Arabidopsis thaliana: one gene and its partners. The protein of the gene in region 1 interacts with the protein of each later gene in a pairwise test. Each region holds a gene or a part of one and is shown in the gene's direction. Other genes may lie near its edges.

Evidence for each region.
Region 2: the proteins of TCP10 (region 1) and MAC5B interact in binary tests that used the Arabidopsis thaliana proteins (3 or more experiments, as listed by UniProt).
Region 3: the proteins of TCP10 (region 1) and AN3 interact in binary tests that used the Arabidopsis thaliana proteins (3 or more experiments, as listed by UniProt).

Annotation. Positions count from the first base shown.
Region 1 is NC_003071.7:13,219,740-13,224,934, reverse strand, and holds TCP10 (TCP domain protein 10), read left to right. Parts: upstream 1-2,325; 5' UTR 2,326-2,865; coding exon 2,866-3,951; 3' UTR 3,952-3,957; intron 3,958-4,072; 3' UTR 4,073-4,457; downstream 4,458-5,195. UniProt on the Arabidopsis thaliana protein: Plays a pivotal role in the control of morphogenesis of shoot organs by negatively regulating the expression of boundary-specific genes such as CUC genes, probably through the induction of miRNA (e.g. miR164). Participates in ovule development.
Region 2 is NC_003071.7:12,649,571-12,655,252, forward strand, and holds MAC5B (CCCH-type zinc fingerfamily protein with RNA-binding domain-containing protein), read left to right. Parts: upstream 1-2,255; 5' UTR 2,256-2,440; coding exon 2,441-2,545; intron 2,546-2,940; coding exon 2,941-3,210; intron 3,211-3,330; coding exon 3,331-3,554; intron 3,555-3,735; coding exon 3,736-4,588; 3' UTR 4,589-4,766; downstream 4,767-5,682. Other genes in the region: ENOC (cytosolic enolase), read left to right, coding at 53-124; PCNA2 (proliferating cell nuclear antigen 2), read right to left, coding at 569-793, 888-985, 1,069-1,221, 1,710-2,028; AT2G29590 (Thioesterase superfamily protein), read right to left, coding at 5,032-5,175, 5,278-5,418, 5,671-5,682.
Region 3 is NC_003076.8:10,646,551-10,652,040, reverse strand, and holds AN3 (SSXT family protein), read left to right. Parts: upstream 1-1,978; 5' UTR 1,979-2,420; coding exon 2,421-2,501; exon of another isoform or gene 2,502-2,653; intron 2,654-2,665; exon of another isoform or gene 2,666-3,499; coding exon 3,500-3,576; intron 3,577-3,655; coding exon 3,656-3,740; intron 3,741-3,820; coding exon 3,821-4,210; 3' UTR 4,211-4,574; downstream 4,575-5,490. UniProt on the Arabidopsis thaliana protein: Transcription coactivator that plays a role in the regulation of cell expansion in leaf and cotyledons tissues.

The DNA of each region.
Region 1 (5,195 bases):
TGTTGGAAAGAGTTTCAGCTCGGTTGGCGGGTTGGAAGGGCCGATCTTTGAGCTTGGCAGGGAGAATCACTCTGACAAAAGCGGTTCTGTCTTCTATCCCGGTTCATGTAATGAGTGCGATTCTTTTACCGGTCTCTACGCTTGATACTTTGGATAGATACTCCAGAACTTTTCTTTGGGGGAGTACTATGGAGAAGAAAAAACAACACTTGCTATCTTGGCGTAAGATATGTAAGCCGAAAGCTGAGGGAGGGATCGGATTACGGTCTGCTCGTGATATGAATAAGGCCTTGGTAGCCAAGGTGGGGTGGCGTCTGCTTCAAGATAAAGAGAGCTTATGGGCACGGGTTGTTCGCAAAAAGTACAAAGTGGGTGGAGTACAAGATACTAGCTGGCTGAAACCACAACCAAGATGGTCCTCCACGTGGAGAAGTGTGGCAGTAGGGCTCCGGGAAGTGGTGGTTAAGGGCGTTGGATGGGTGCCTGGAGATGGGTGCACAATAAGGTTCTGGTTGGATCGCTGGCTGTTGCAGGAGCCGTTGGTGGAGCTTGGGACTGATATGATACCGGAGGGGGAGAGAATAAAGGTGGCAGCCGATTATTGGTTGCCGGGATCAGGTTGGAACCTGGAAATTCTGGGTTTGTATCTGCCAGAGACAGTTAAGAGGCGGTTGCTCTCGGTTGTGGTTCAGGTTTTTCTGGGTAATGGAGACGAGATATCATGGAAGGGTACACAGGATGGGGCCTTCACAGTCCGCTCTGCGTATTCCCTCCTACAAGGTGACGTTGGAGACAGGCCGAATATGGGGAGCTTCTTTAACAGAATCTGGAAGCTGATCACGCCTGAGAGAGTACGGGTGTTTATTTGGTTGGTGAGCCAGAATGTGATCATGACTAATGTGGAGAGAGTCCGGCGCCATTTGAGTGAGAATGCTATATGTTCGGTGTGTAATGGAGCCGAGGAAACAATACTCCATGTGTTGCGTGACTGCCCCGCTATGGAACCGATTTGGCGTCGGTTGCTGCCACTGAGACGACATCATGAGTTTTTTAGCCAGTCTTTATTGGAGTGGTTATTTACAAATATGGATCCAGTAAAGGGGATTTGGCCTACTCTTTTTGGTATGGGAATTTGGTGGGCTTGGAAGTGGAGGTGTTGTGATGTGTTTGGGGAACGAAAGATTTGTCGGGACAGGCTGAAGTTCATCAAAGACATGGCGGAGGAGGTGAGGAGAGTACATGTTGGTGCTGTTGGTAACCGGCCTAATGGTGTGCGGGTGGAAAGAATGATCAGGTGGCAGGTTCCAAGCGATGGGTGGGTGAAAATTACCACGGATGGAGCGTCCCGTGGGAATCACGGGCTGGCTGCGGCAGGAGGGGCCATCCGGAATGGGCAGGGGGAGTGGCTAGGTGGTTTTGCACTAAACATTGGATCTTGTGCAGCGCCATTAGCCGAGTTATGGGGCGCCTACTATGGGCTGCTCATTGCGTGGGACAAGGGGTTTCGACGAGTGGAGTTAGACTTGGATTGCAAGTTGGTGGTGGGTTTTTTAAGCACAGGGGTAAGCAACGCTCATCCGCTGTCCTTCCTGGTACGGTTGTGCCAAGGCTTCTTTACGAGGGACTGGTTAGTCCGTGTGTCACACGTGTATAGGGAAGCTAACCGTCTCGCTGACGGGTTAGCAAACTATGCCTTTACCTTGCCGCTAGGGCTTCATTGTTTTGATGCATGCCCAGAGGGAGTCCGTTTACTTTTGCTCGCAGATGTTAATGGAACAGAGTTCCCTCGAGCTGTTTTATTGTAATTTTTTGTAGTTTGTTCTTAATAAATTGGGGTAGGCAATTGCCACCCCTCAGCTTACCAAAAAAAAAAATCATACTAGAGTCAAATTATTCCATTGTCGACTTTGATTAGCATGTAATCCTAAGCCGACCAATGTGTGTGTATGTTGTGTGAAACATATGCTTTTCAAGTTTTAATTAATTAGTGAAGGAGGATTTGACATTAACCAAACAAAATATTACAAATTGGTGTAACTAAGATATGATATATGTTCATTTATTGATGTTTTTCAATTTTCCTATATTCCTTATTATATGATATATATAGTTATGTATGTTTCAAGAATTCGATATGGCACGCATGATTGAAGAATAATGATTGAGGAATTTTTCTGTAACAAAAAAATTTGAAATAAACAAATATGTGGCTAAGAACTTAACAAGGACACATGTTGATATGTGAAATAGGAATCTTATAATAAGGAACAAAAGGTTGAAAGCAAAAGGGTATTTATTTAGTTTACTTTCCTATTCTGAACCCTTAACTTCTGCTATCCTTTCCACCAACAATCTAATAGTATACTCTCTCTCTTTTTTTTCCTCTTCTTCTTCTTGTCCTTCGATTTTAGACCAACTAAACATATCAATATATTAAAGTAGCATCTCTCTCTCTCTCTCTCTCTCTCTCTCGCTCTTTTATTTTTAATATCAATTTTGTTGTCCAAATTCTCATCTCTTTGGGAAAACCCTAGACTAAAGATTCCAATCTCTTTTCTTCTAAATATTTCTTCATTTTTTCCCTTTTTTGATTTGGGTATGTTGGGTCATTGAATCTTGTGACTGCCATGGCAGATCTTTTGGGGATCTGCATAGAAGAGTTGCTTCTTGTAGCAGCTTTCAGGTAGCTGTGTCCAGCCTGCATCAGATGTTATTAACTCACTACACACCAAACACCACAATAACAACAAAACGGCAAGCATTTTGAAGAGGTAAACAAAGCAAGTGGGCAACAAAAACGGCACGCAAGTTTTTCTTCCAAGTTAAAACAACTCTTGGAATGTCATTTTGAAAGGTAAAAAAATAATGGGACTTAAAGGATATAGCGTCGGAGAAGGAGGAGGAGAGATAGTTGAGGTTCAAGGCGGTCACATAATCCGAGCCACTGGACGCAAAGACCGTCATAGCAAAGTGTTCACATCAAAGGGTCCACGTGACCGGCGCGTGAGACTCTCAGCTCACACGGCGATTCAATTCTACGATGTGCAAGACCGGTTAGGTTATGACCGGCCTAGCAAAGCCGTTGATTGGCTCATCAAGAAAGCCAAAACCGCTATTGATAAGCTTGAACTCGGGGAGACTACTACTACTACTACTCGTCAAGAACCGGTGAATACTAAACCGGAATCTCCCACTTTGGTTTTCCAAAGAGAGAACAATGACCAAACGCAGTTCGTGGCGGCCAATCTTGATCCTGAAGACGCAATGAAAACGTTTTTCCCGGCGACGACAACAACAAACGGTGGTGGTGGTACAAACATCAATTTCCAAAACTACCCTCATCAGGATGACAACAACATGGTCTCAAGAACAACAACACCACCACCAAACCTTAGCCAAGATCTTGGTCTCTCTCTTCACCCATTTCAAGGGAACAACAACACAGTCGTAGTTCCCGAGACCAACAATTTCACCACGACTCATTTCGACACGTTCGGGAGAATCTCTGGATGGAATCATCACGACTTAACTATGACGTCATCATCCTCATCAGAACATCAACAACAAGAACAAGAAGAAAGGAGTAATGGTGGTTTCATGGTGAATCATCATCCTCACCATCATCATCATCAACCGTCGATGATGACATTGCTTAATAGTCAGCAACAACAAGTGTTTCTTGGTGGCCAACAACAACAACAACAAAGGGGTACCCTTCAGTCCAGTTTATTCCCTCATTCGTTTCGTTCTTGGGATCATCATCAAACGACGTCGGATCATCATCATCATCAGAATCAAGCTTCTTCGATGTTTGCTTCATCATCACAGTATGGTTCTCATGGGATGATGATGATGCAAGGCCTTAGTTTCCCCAACACTACAAGACTACTCCACGGAGAAGAAGCTACTCAACCAAACTCTTCTTCTTCTCCTCCAAACTCACACCTCTAAACTAAGGTTTGCTTCTTCTTTTTAATGTATTTATATATTTTAAGTATAATAGGTTATTAATCAAGAAACCAGACAATAATTAAATCTTTCATAATTAAATTACCACATGTATTTCTTTCAGACAACCATGGAGGTTCAAATTCATGATGACATGCATTGAACAAGAAGGAGGAAATTAATGTGATGAATGGAGCTAGAGTAAGCGCTATATTAATTAGTATTACCATCTATCCATATATTTATGATTCAAGACTATTATTACTCATTTAGTGTTTGTTATTATTATTCAATTTTGCTTGTTTGTTTCTTATCATCTTTGCATTGATCATCAAGATTGTGATATTTGAAAAGATGGGTTTTATGTGTGTTTTGGTTTAGTACTGGCGTTAGGCTGGGATATTGTAATCTCATATTTTTGTTCTACGAGTGAGTTTGAATTTTCTGGTTTTTACTTGCGGTTTCTATTTCTTCGGTTAAGTAAAGAGTAATTGAAGAACGTTAAAAGCATAGGTCGTATTACATGAGTAATGAAGAAAAAGGTGTTCATTATCATCTGTGCAGATACCAATTTTCTTTTGTAATATAGCTTAGCTTGCTAAAAAGTTGCGACTATTTAATAGAAAAGTCAAATTTATTACAAATTTGGGATTTTTATGAAAAAGTTGCTATTGAGTATTCAATGCTTTGTGACAGTGATACCAAAGGATCTCGATAGTTTAGTCTGCTTTACTTGGTCTAATTGGGTTTGACAGAAGATTTTTCTATAATTCATCTTGAAATAATTGTTTTAGTCATATAGATAGGCGGGCTATATAGAGAATGACATTTATCACTTTTTGGCACTTTTACATATAGTATATATATATGTACATATATTTGGTTTGATGAAATACATGATAATATATTTAGGTTAAAGGAGTTTGTACTTTGTTGTCACATGATGATCATTAATATTTTTCCCAACGATGATCATCATTTTTATACAAGACGTTAAAAGCTACAGAATGTTCGTACTTTTAAAAGTCATCTACTGCGAGAATGACTACTTTGGCCTTTTGATTATGGATTGTGCTTGGATTATTAGAAGAGTTCAACAAAAGGATTACAACTTCCATCTACAGTTTTGTTACAAAAGGATTGTACTATATGTAAGTGTAACCCAACAAACCTAAACCAACAGACAGGAATGCGGTAGAGCAAACCGGTACAATCAAAATCAAACACCCTTCATAAAACTATATCGG
Region 2 (5,682 bases), 570 kb from region 1:
TGTAGAAACTACTTTATTAAAAAGCTGAATCACTGTTGAAATGTTCCTGCAGTTGCTACGGATAGAGGAAGAGCTTGGGGATCAAGCAGTGTATGCTGGAGAAGATTGGAAGCTATCTCTCTAAACAAAATGCACATGTGATATTAATTGTTACACTTCTCGTCTTACTTCATTGTTCTCGAGTCTATTTCTCACGCAGACAAATTCTTGTGTCTTGAAAGTTCAAATTTTTTGTTGTTTTTGCCAAATTTAAGAACAAACAGAAGTAAAGAGTGTTAAACATGTTTTTTACAAATTGTAAAAGCATCCAAAAACATCAATCAACACTAGTTCGTGAGGTTGCAGAAGCCACAAACAAACGTGTTTTAGGGCTTCGTGTCTTCTTTTTCTTCAATGTTTAACAAACAGATGAAAAGTGTTATAAACAAGCTTTTCCAAATTTCAGAAAGACAAACATCATACGATTATCTAGTTTAGCATTGCCTTAAGATAGTAAATCCAGAAAACAACTGAATCAAGACAGACATTTCAACAAAGGACTCGAACGAAGACTATCAAACATTCATCATTATTCTGGTTTGGTGTCTTCTTCTTCTTCAATCTTAGGCGCCAGATAGTATCGAATGTAACCCATCTCAGCCACCTTGTACTCCACCACGACCGGTAACTCAGAGGACAAACTGATGGTCACAGTTTCCGACAATGGAGTAGCCTTTGTGAAGGAGTTCATGTACCTCAATGCAAATGAAAGCGAAACAGGCTCGTTCATCTCTATCACAATAGCATCTTCAGGCTGCAAAACACACATACAAACATAAGGTCACTTCAACATTGTATTGGACAGATTATTAAACAAATCTCTCTAGATGACTAGTGATTGTTCATACTTTGTCGACGGTAGTATTCTGCCTGAGCACAATGTTTGCTGTCCCGATATCACCTGCTGTTGAAAACTTCACCCCTTCTTTTGTTACCGAGATCACAACTGCAAAATCATAACATCAAAACCAGAATCATGATTAGAGAATCCTCGCAGTGATACACCAAATAAACAAACAGTTCATTTACCTGTGTCACCAATGCTACTGAGATCTTTGCATATCCTGGAAAATTCACCAGAAGGCATTCTCACAATCGAGTGGTACTCAGCATCAGGAATTCCTAAATGCTCACTGTCGATATCCATCAGCTTCATCTCAAAATCTGCAATCTTGTCTTGTGCTGCATCATCAACACCATTTAAATAATGAGATTAACACCACATAGTCAATATCAAACAAAGTTCCTCTGTTAACTTTCACTAAATCAAGAAACTCTATTCACTTTCAAACTATAGTCTTTAAGCTAGAGACTATACCTATTCTGAAAACAAAAATGGAAGGACTCATTCTCATCAAGCAAGTTCTAGTTTCTGTCAAATGAAACCTATAAATAACAGTTCAGATCACTAATAACATCATTAACTACACAAAAACAAAGCCATATCAAACCTTATTCCAAACCAAAAACCCTCTATTAACATAGATTTTATCTTCTCTTTCATCTCTTACAAACTAAAGCTTTCAAGAAATGGACTGAATCATTCTCTACAATCATATTCTAGCTTCTGGCAAATCAAACCTATAAACACAGAATCAGGTCACCAATAGCATCAACATTGACAACAAAACCAAAGCCCTAACAAACAAAAATCGATTTGAAGAACTTACTGGGACTCTCAAACATGAAAGTAACAGTGTCGCTACCATCATCAGCTTTGATGGTGATGATATCATCATTTCCAGCACATTTCAGCATCTTAGACATATTACCAAGATTCATTCCCATAGAGAGGTTCCTATCGCATCTATAGTGCTCGAAACCTTCAGATCTAAGCAAAAGAGACACCAACGCGACATGGCTCGAATCCATAGCTTGAAGCGAGAACCCTGTGGTCGAACAGTCGAAGTTCGCATCGTTCACCAGATCTTTGACCGCTTCTAGAACCTTCTTCAGTAGAGAACCTTGAACTAAACGAAGCTCCAACATCTTCTGGGAAATTATCGAAAGGTTAGAGTGTGAATCGAAACGGTTAGGGTTTTTAGAGCTGTTGAAATTTCTGGGAGGAGATTGCAATTGTTAGCGGGAAGTGATATTATAAGCTGAGATTTTGTGGCGCCATTTAGCGATTTTAGGGTATTTTTGTTCCCGCCTGTGTGTGACGATGAATTATCATCTGTGTGAGTCCGTATTGTTTATTTCAGTACACCACCATCACTTTAAGCTTTCTTATTTCATGGGTTTAAATTGGGCCAAACAAACATTCGGCCCAACAGCAGCTGTAATATTAAAGATTCCCGAAAAAATCGAAACGAGAGCAAATCTGCTCTTCAAGGTAATCTTCGTGTTCGAGACTGAAGAAGAAATCCAGAAATCATTGAGGAAGGAAGAGAATTAGGAAATGGCGCATAGAATACTGAGAGATCACGAGGCTGATGGATGGGAACGTTCTGATTTCCCAATCATCTGTGAGTCTTGTCTCGGTGACAATCCTTACGTGAGAATGGTATATTCTTCGCTTCCTATGTTTCTCCTCAAACAAATTCGATTTCCTTGCCTTTAGCTAGATTTTTTTTTAACATTCATGTGTCTTTATTAAGATCTCCTTTCATTTGTCCATTTTCGAGCTTGTTTAATGCTTTTATGTTTCTTAGTGTTGAAGCTGCAATTTTAGTGATTTGAGATTTTAGGGTTTAAGCGATTTAATATACAATTCATAACCTTTGGTAAAAATCAGAATTCATGGAGTTGTAGTTCAAAATGATATCTTTGGTTTGTTCTGATCAAATTTGCTTAGAGGGAATGTAATTCATTGAATACTGTCTCATGTTATGTCTGGTAGTGATGTGCAGCTTCATGTTTGATTGATTGATTGATTTATTGTTGTTGTTTGGTATGTAGACAAAGGCGAATTACGATAAAGAGTGTAAGATCTGTACCCGGCCTTTCACGGTTTTCAGATGGCGACCTGGTAGGGATGCGAGATACAAGAAGACTGAAGTTTGTCAGACATGTTGCAAGTTGAAGAATGTGTGCCAAGTTTGTCTCTTGGATCTTGAGTATGGTCTTCCAGTTCAGGTCAGAGACACGGCGCTCAACATTAGTACTCATGATTCTATCCCAAAAAGTGATGTGAACCGAGAGTTTTTCGCTGAAGAGCATGATCGAAAGGTATGGTGACTCTGCGTTCTAACTAGTTATATTATTTGAGTATTGATTGGTTTGAGATTTGGCTATACAGTTTCTCTACTTTGTAATGGCCTATTGAAATGGTTTTGTTTTCTTGTGTAGACGAGAGCTGGACTAGATTATGAGTCTTCTTTTGGGAAGATTCGGCCCAACGATACCATTCGTATGCTTCAAAGGACAACGCCTTACTACAAAAGGAACCGAGCTCATATTTGTAGTTTCTTCATTAGGGGAGAGTGTACAAGAGGTGATGAGTGTCCATACCGTCATGAGATGCCTGAAACAGGAGAGTTATCCCAGCAGAACATTAAAGACCGTTATTATGGGTAAGCATACTTCTAACTTTCATTTTGTTTGAGTATGATAATATTGAGTTACTCCTCAATTTCTTGCTTTGGTATATCATGAAAGAGAGTTATGAAAAATACATCAGTTTGTGTGCGTAAACTGGCTGTTATTTTGGTGATATTGGAACTGTTTTCTCATCTTATTCTTCACTTCCTGCAGTGTAAACGATCCAGTTGCGTTGAAGTTACTTGGCAAGGCTGGGGAGATGGGTACTTTGGAATCTCCAGAGGATCAAAGCATCAGAACGCTTTATGTTGGTGGGCTAAACTCGAGAGTCCTTGAGCAAGACATTCGTGATCAATTCTACGCCCATGGAGAAATCGAATCCATCAGAATCTTGGCTGAGAAAGCATGTGCGTTTGTCACTTACACAACCCGAGAAGGAGCAGAGAAAGCTGCAGAAGAGCTCAGTAACAGGCTAGTTGTCAACGGTCAGAGGCTAAAACTCACATGGGGAAGACCTCAGGTTCCCAAACCTGATCAAGATGGTTCTAACCAACAGGGCAGTGTGGCTCATAGTGGTTTACTACCTCGAGCAGTTATATCTCAGCAACAGAATCAACCTCCACCAATGCTACAATACTATATGCACCCACCACCACCACAACCTCCTCATCAAGACAGACCATTTTACCCATCAATGGACCCTCAGAGAATGGGTGCAGTTAGTTCGTCCAAAGAAAGCGGTTCAAGCACCAGTGACAACAGAGGAGCTTCTTCTTCTTCTTACACTATGCCACCACATGGCCACTATCCTCAGCACCAGCCATACCCGCCACCATCATATGGAGGATATATGCAACCACCTTACCAGCAGTATCCTCCTTACCACCATGGCCATTCACAACAAGCTGATCATGATTACCCACAACAACCAGGTCCCGGTTCAAGGCCTAATCCTCCACATCCAAGTTCAGTCTCTGCTCCACCACCTGACTCTGTGTCTGCAGCACCTTCAGGATCCTCTCAGCAATCTGCTGATGCTGCTGTTACTACTGGTTCGTCTCAATAGGAACCGTTGTCAGTTAAAATGTAGTGCGAATTTCCGGCCATATCTACATTTTGACTTTTTGCTTCTGCTATTTAAAATTAGTTTCCAATGTAAGAGAAGAGAATTGTTACAGTAGTTGTAGACTCTTGTTGACATTATAATTTTGAATTTTTGATAATCCAACATACACATTAAATCCAAGCTGAAACCATAGACAACAAAATTCTCTTGAAGCTTCTTCAAATTCCTCTTTAAACAGCTTTCAATGTTGTATAGATGAGACATATCATACCATCCTCATCAACATAACTATCACAGTTACTGAATGGTTTGATCTTTATAAGCTATGTACCAAGGTTTTAGATTCACAACCAGAAAGAACAAAGGACCTAACCAAATTTACCTAACCATAATCTTATTATTGAAAACAGACATTACAGTGATACAAGACTTAAAAGTTGGACTCAGAGCTTACTAGCTTGTCTACCAAACATAGAATGTCGACCTTCCGCTATAATCTCCCCGGTCATCTTGTTTCTGACTACAACGATTGTTCCTTTATAACCTCCTCTCTCTCCTAACAATCTCGACGTTATCTCCAACTCCTCCTGAAAATTCATTTCCATTTCAATATCATATCTCTCAATCCATTTCTATAGCAAACAAACAGTCCCAAAGTACAGATTGAAAAAAGACTTGAGCAGACTTACACCAAGCTTAGCTTTTGAAAGGAATGCAATAGACATGTCCACTGAAACACTCATAGGTAAGCCTTCGCCATGTACAAGTGCTCCACCAACTTCATCCACAAGATTTGCAATCGCACCATTTGCTAAATTCTTGTCTCTGTCCTGACATTATCAAAACATTAAAATATCAACATCGTCTCCAATAAAAGAAAAAAACGACACAATCAAGTTCAAGCATCTTCTAGATTCTGCTCAAGTTTCCAAAGACTAATAGTATCACCGAGAACTATCATCTTCAAACATCTGACAATAATGCCATTAAACCTCAAATTAGCTTATTTCCAAAAACCTATCACGCTAATTCGACAATTAATCAAAATAGAAGGGGCTTAGAGGATTGAGAGAAAGACTTACCGTCAAACGAAG
Region 3 (5,490 bases), on another chromosome or scaffold:
ATATCTTGGTGAATATTCATATTAATCGGTCAAAGATAGTACAATAATAAGTTACAAGTTGCTGCAACACTTTTCTCTATGTAAGAGGATTCAACATCAACCTCACATTAACTATAAAATTTATGGCTGTTATATAGAAAATAAGGTAGTATAAAATTAATGTCGTAAAAATTTAATATTTCTTTTAGGTATTAACCAAAATGAATTGATCATTTGTAAGCGTTTCAGAATCCTACCTTTAACTTCATAATCTCAATTTACAGTATGCAAACAACTATATTGGTCTGATAAAAAAGAAGAAATGGTATTTTTAGTTTTGTTCCTAGTGTTTTTGGTTTGCTTTTAGATGGCATAGAAACACTATTGGTTTGGTTATTGTCTATAAGACATAATTAATCGGGAAAAGAAAACAATTCATTTATCCTTACAGATTACTTTAATGTTCATACATAATACTATAGTTAAACAAACAAACATTAAAAGTTGAGCCTCCGTGGTTCATATATGCAGAAGGAATATCTCGGATCCATTTTTGGTACCAACGAATAAAGTGTTAATTAATATTTAACCACATCTACAAGAGGGTTTAACGTGGAATTAAGTATAACCACGCAAAGATAATATAGCTGTTGAATCTTTTTCTTTTTAAATTACCGACCATCGAAACGTACTTCAAGAATTCGAACAAAAAGTTAATGAGACTTATCAAATAACTCCAAACTAATTATTATTATTTTCTTTACAAAAGCATTTCAAAAACTTTAGAGACCCTTTGGTTGAGAATCATCAATATTAAACATTCAAACCAAGTTAGGGCAGTGTTTTGATGGTCGATAACTCGTCTTATTGGTCGAGACAAGTGATCGAGTTAGTATTAACATATGTAAAAAAAAAGAAACATGTATTGATCATTGTTGAGGATAAATTTCATCTATTAAGATATCAGTCAATTATAATGTGTTACGTGATTCGATAAAAAAAAAAGACCAAAAAAAAAAAGAAGATAACTATTGGTAAGCGTAAGAAATGTGTTTACATTTTGGCATTTTGCCAAAACACATAAAGATGGTTAGTGATGAGACGAGACGAGTCATGCGCTACTTTTAAAACAAAATGAAAAACATCATTAAGCTAACAAACCAAACACACTTGTTTTGATAACATGTTCTAGGGAACTAGTTATGCCAAATCTAATCCGCATAAGAAGACTAAGTCACAACATAATTCAGTAATTTGGTTGAGATTAAATCCTATAAATATGATTTTAAGGTATAAGAGAGAAGAGACTCTTTTGATCAACACAATCAAACATCTACAAAGAAAATTATCTCACATAGCTACTTCTTAATCTAATTTTTTCATTAATCCATTTTATTTTAAATGTGAAGAATCGCATCTAGATGTGACCTCTCATGATAAAAAATTAAACCATTGTAAAAAAAATGTTGTGTAAAACTAAATATAATAAATTATTAAAAAAATACAAATTCAATCCACTAGGTTAAAAACTCCTATGTAGAACATTTTTTTATATTAAAATGTAAATACATGAATCTTATTTTTCGAAAAACTAAAGACATCTTTTTTTTATATATTAATTACCAAAACAAAATAAGACGACAAAAATATTCTTTGATATAGTAAAAGAAAACTAGAAAACTAGAAAACAATAAATTACCAAAACAATCTAGAAAACAATAAATCCTACTTTGCATTACTTTATTATAAAATCCCGAAATGAATCTATAAATGTAGAAAATATTATACAAAAGTTGTAAGAGATTTTAATATACATAATTACATATATATACAAGTAAATACACCGTATATACATACGAAGGAGTAAACAGTATTATTTGGTATATAGTTACGTCTCTATATACGAAGGGTTCAAACTTCAAAGTAATAATTTAATCAACAATGTGTACATATTGATAAGTAGTAGTATATATGTAAAGGTCTCACGTCTCTATAATAAAGTATGACTCGTCACGTGACCTCCTCTTCTTCGCAGAGACAGAGATAGGATGAGACAGAAAGAAACCAACAAAACCAAACCCCAAAACCCAAGAAAAAGAGAAAAACACTCTCTTCTCTTCTCTCTCTCTCTTTCTATTTAAGAGACTTCACTGTCTCTCTCAGTCTTTTAACGCAAAACAACTTTTGTGGAGGAGAGAAAGCGAGATAACACACACACAGAGATACACATCTTCAATAGTTAAGAGTTTTCTATATACAGAAGCATAGAGGAAAGAGAGAGAGACAGATACAAAAGTTAATATCTCTCTCTCTCACTTGGTGAGACTTCTCTTTTTCCTCTGGGTTTTGTGGTGGGGGTTGTCTCTATAAAAACTTATATATATAAAATATATAAATAAATAAGAAGGAATTATCAGGTTTTATATAAAATAGCAAAAGAAATGCAACAGCACCTGATGCAGATGCAGCCCATGATGGCTGGTTACTACCCCAGCAATGTTACCTCTGATCATATCCAACAGGTTCTCTTCTCCTTCTCCTCCTTCTCCTTCTTCTTCTATTATATTATCTCTTTCTTTTTTCTTTATTATATGTTTCTTTGAATTCATAAAGGAAAGTGAAGAAATCTCTCTTGCAAGTACCTTATAACTTTTTCTTTATATTATATAAAAAAGTATGTGAAACCCTTTTCTTCTGTTCTCATAACATAGATGATTTTTTTTCATTGGTTCTTTTTTGTTTGGTAAAAGAGTTCTTGTTATTCTTGTTTCCATGTCTTTTTTTTTCATAGAGAAATTAGTTTTAATACATGTGTGTTTATGTTTGATAAATTTGGTTGGTAGAGATGCTTTGGTCACTAAGATGATTCTTTCAACTTTTTTTCTTTTCCTTATAGATTTGGTGTATTATCAGTTAACTTTGATGCTAATTAAATGTCTAAAACCAGACAAAGTTAAGAAAGATTCTTTCTTTCAATGAAAATGAATGTTTAGGGTCCAGTTGTGTTTTGAGTTCTTGAAACATGTAATGAAAAATAACGTGTTCAAAACAGACAAATCTTGGGAACTGAAGATTTGTTTCACATATCTCGTTTTTTCTTCTTGTCTTGGTTTTCGGGTTCTGGAAGTTTCATTGATGGCAAAAACCACAAAGCCATTTATGTGAATATTGTGGGTGGTCCTGTTTAGATTTGTTATCATTATAAGTAGATCTATGTGTATTTTCCAGTCCAAGTGTTTCTTTTATTGCTTACATGACCAGATATACTTTGTGGTCCGAAACAACATCTGGTCCTTATCTCAGTTTTTTTTTTGTGTGGTCCTCAAAATCTTTTCGAAGAAAATCTTTCGTTACACTTTTGTGATATTTCAACATTATTGTCTTTTGAGATAAGTCGGAATTTAAGTTACTGGGGTCTCCTTTTGAGATTTTCTATGTCTTTATTACAACAAAAACAAAATAGTATGCAAATTTTTTGTTTGTAGCATTAGTAATGATTAATGAAAATGTTTGATTGTAGTACTTGGACGAAAACAAATCGTTGATTCTGAAGATTGTTGAGTCTCAAAACTCTGGAAAGCTTAGCGAATGCGCCGAGTAAGAGACAACATATCTCCTTTATGATTTCACTTGTGTTCTGTTGAGTAACAAGAAATGATGATTAAAATGGTTATAGGAATCAAGCAAGGCTTCAACGCAACCTAATGTACCTAGCTGCAATAGCAGATTCTCAGCCTCAGCCACCAAGTGTGCATAGCCAGGTGATTGTTTATACAGTGAAGTATTCCAAATTTTGTTGTATGATCAATTGAGAAAGTGATTTGTTTTGTTTGGTTATTAGTATGGATCTGCTGGTGGTGGGATGATTCAGGGAGAAGGAGGGTCACACTATTTGCAGCAGCAACAAGCGACTCAACAGCAACAGATGACTCAGCAGTCTCTAATGGCGGCTCGATCTTCAATGTTGTATGCTCAGCAACAGCAGCAGCAGCAGCCTTACGCGACGCTTCAGCATCAGCAATTGCACCATAGCCAGCTTGGAATGAGCTCGAGCAGCGGAGGAGGAGGAAGCAGTGGTCTCCATATCCTTCAGGGAGAGGCTGGTGGGTTTCATGATTTTGGCCGTGGGAAGCCGGAAATGGGAAGTGGTGGTGGCGGTGAAGGCAGAGGAGGAAGTTCAGGGGATGGTGGAGAAACCCTTTACTTGAAATCATCAGATGATGGGAATTGAAAGAGTGTGGCACAAGGAATCTTAATGATGAAGCAGCAGCAGCAGCAGAAGAAGTAGTAGTAATAATAGGAGTCTTGAAGTTAGTGTGTTTTGGTTTTAGTTGCTTGTTGAAGAAGCAAAGAACTCTTTATTTACTTCTTTTTAGTTTTGTTATTCTCTCTATGTTTGTTCCCTAAAACAGTGAACCTCTTTCGTGGTAGTGTACCATGTAAATCTGCTGGCTCCAAGTTGTGTCGTAATCTTAATATGTTATTTCTCTGAGTTAGACTCTTTTGCTTTAACCAGGACTGAAGTTTTGTAGATCATTGATGTTACCTATTTGGATTCTAAATCGTTATGTAGGCTATATTATTGTTTTTTTTTTCTGGCTGTTATACATAATTTTATTTTATAGTTGATAAAGTCCAACCGGTTCAGTCCAAGACTCATATGACCAGCCTTAGTGGTCCTCGCAAGGTCCCATACTGCTGAAGACCGGACCATAGCCACCCGAAGCTGCACTCAAACCAAAGACCATATTCGGGTCCATTTAAGATAAAGTCTCGTGAAGAAAAGAGGGTTTCAAAAATGTGTCTTTTGGTCCCTTTGCTTCGTCCTAGATTCTTCAAGTAGTATTGAGTGTGGATTTCCCTTAGTTGAGAGTTCCATCGACGATTGTTTTTCTAGTGTCTGGATTCCCCTAGGAGGCCAAGCCCAGCCCCTGCTTTTTACAACTCAATCACAAGCCAAGAGAAGTCTTCAGTTATTCTATTACTTCCTTCCCTTTGGCAAAACTATAAGCCTTGAAACAATATGTCACAAACACTAGTTAAATGTTTAGACCGCACCACCATAGGCCCCAAGTATGTATTTGACATGTTGGCTTCATGCCTGCTCTACTAGACTTCATTTTTGTCTAACTGGTAGTGCGCTATTTCGAAAACTAGATAGATTTGTCATATCTTCTTCTCATGACCAACACATTATTCTTCTTCTTTTGTTCACATTGACATGGTATTATAAAGGGTAATTTGCGGACCACACCCTTTGACCATGTTTTATTTTCAGAGATTGACAAAGTGAAAAGTGGTTTTCACGTTTTGTCTTTTCAGCTGAAATTTGACCCTTTTGCCCTTGCTGCTAGAGCTAAGAAACTGTTGAATGTACAGTTTAGTTAGTCAGGTTTAGTTAGGTACACTGTTCCGGTTTAGTTGAAGATATTTTTGTTTCACGTTGAGGAGTGCAGCTGTACAATTAGAAGGGAGGTTTTTTTTATTAAAAACGAAGTGACATAAACATTT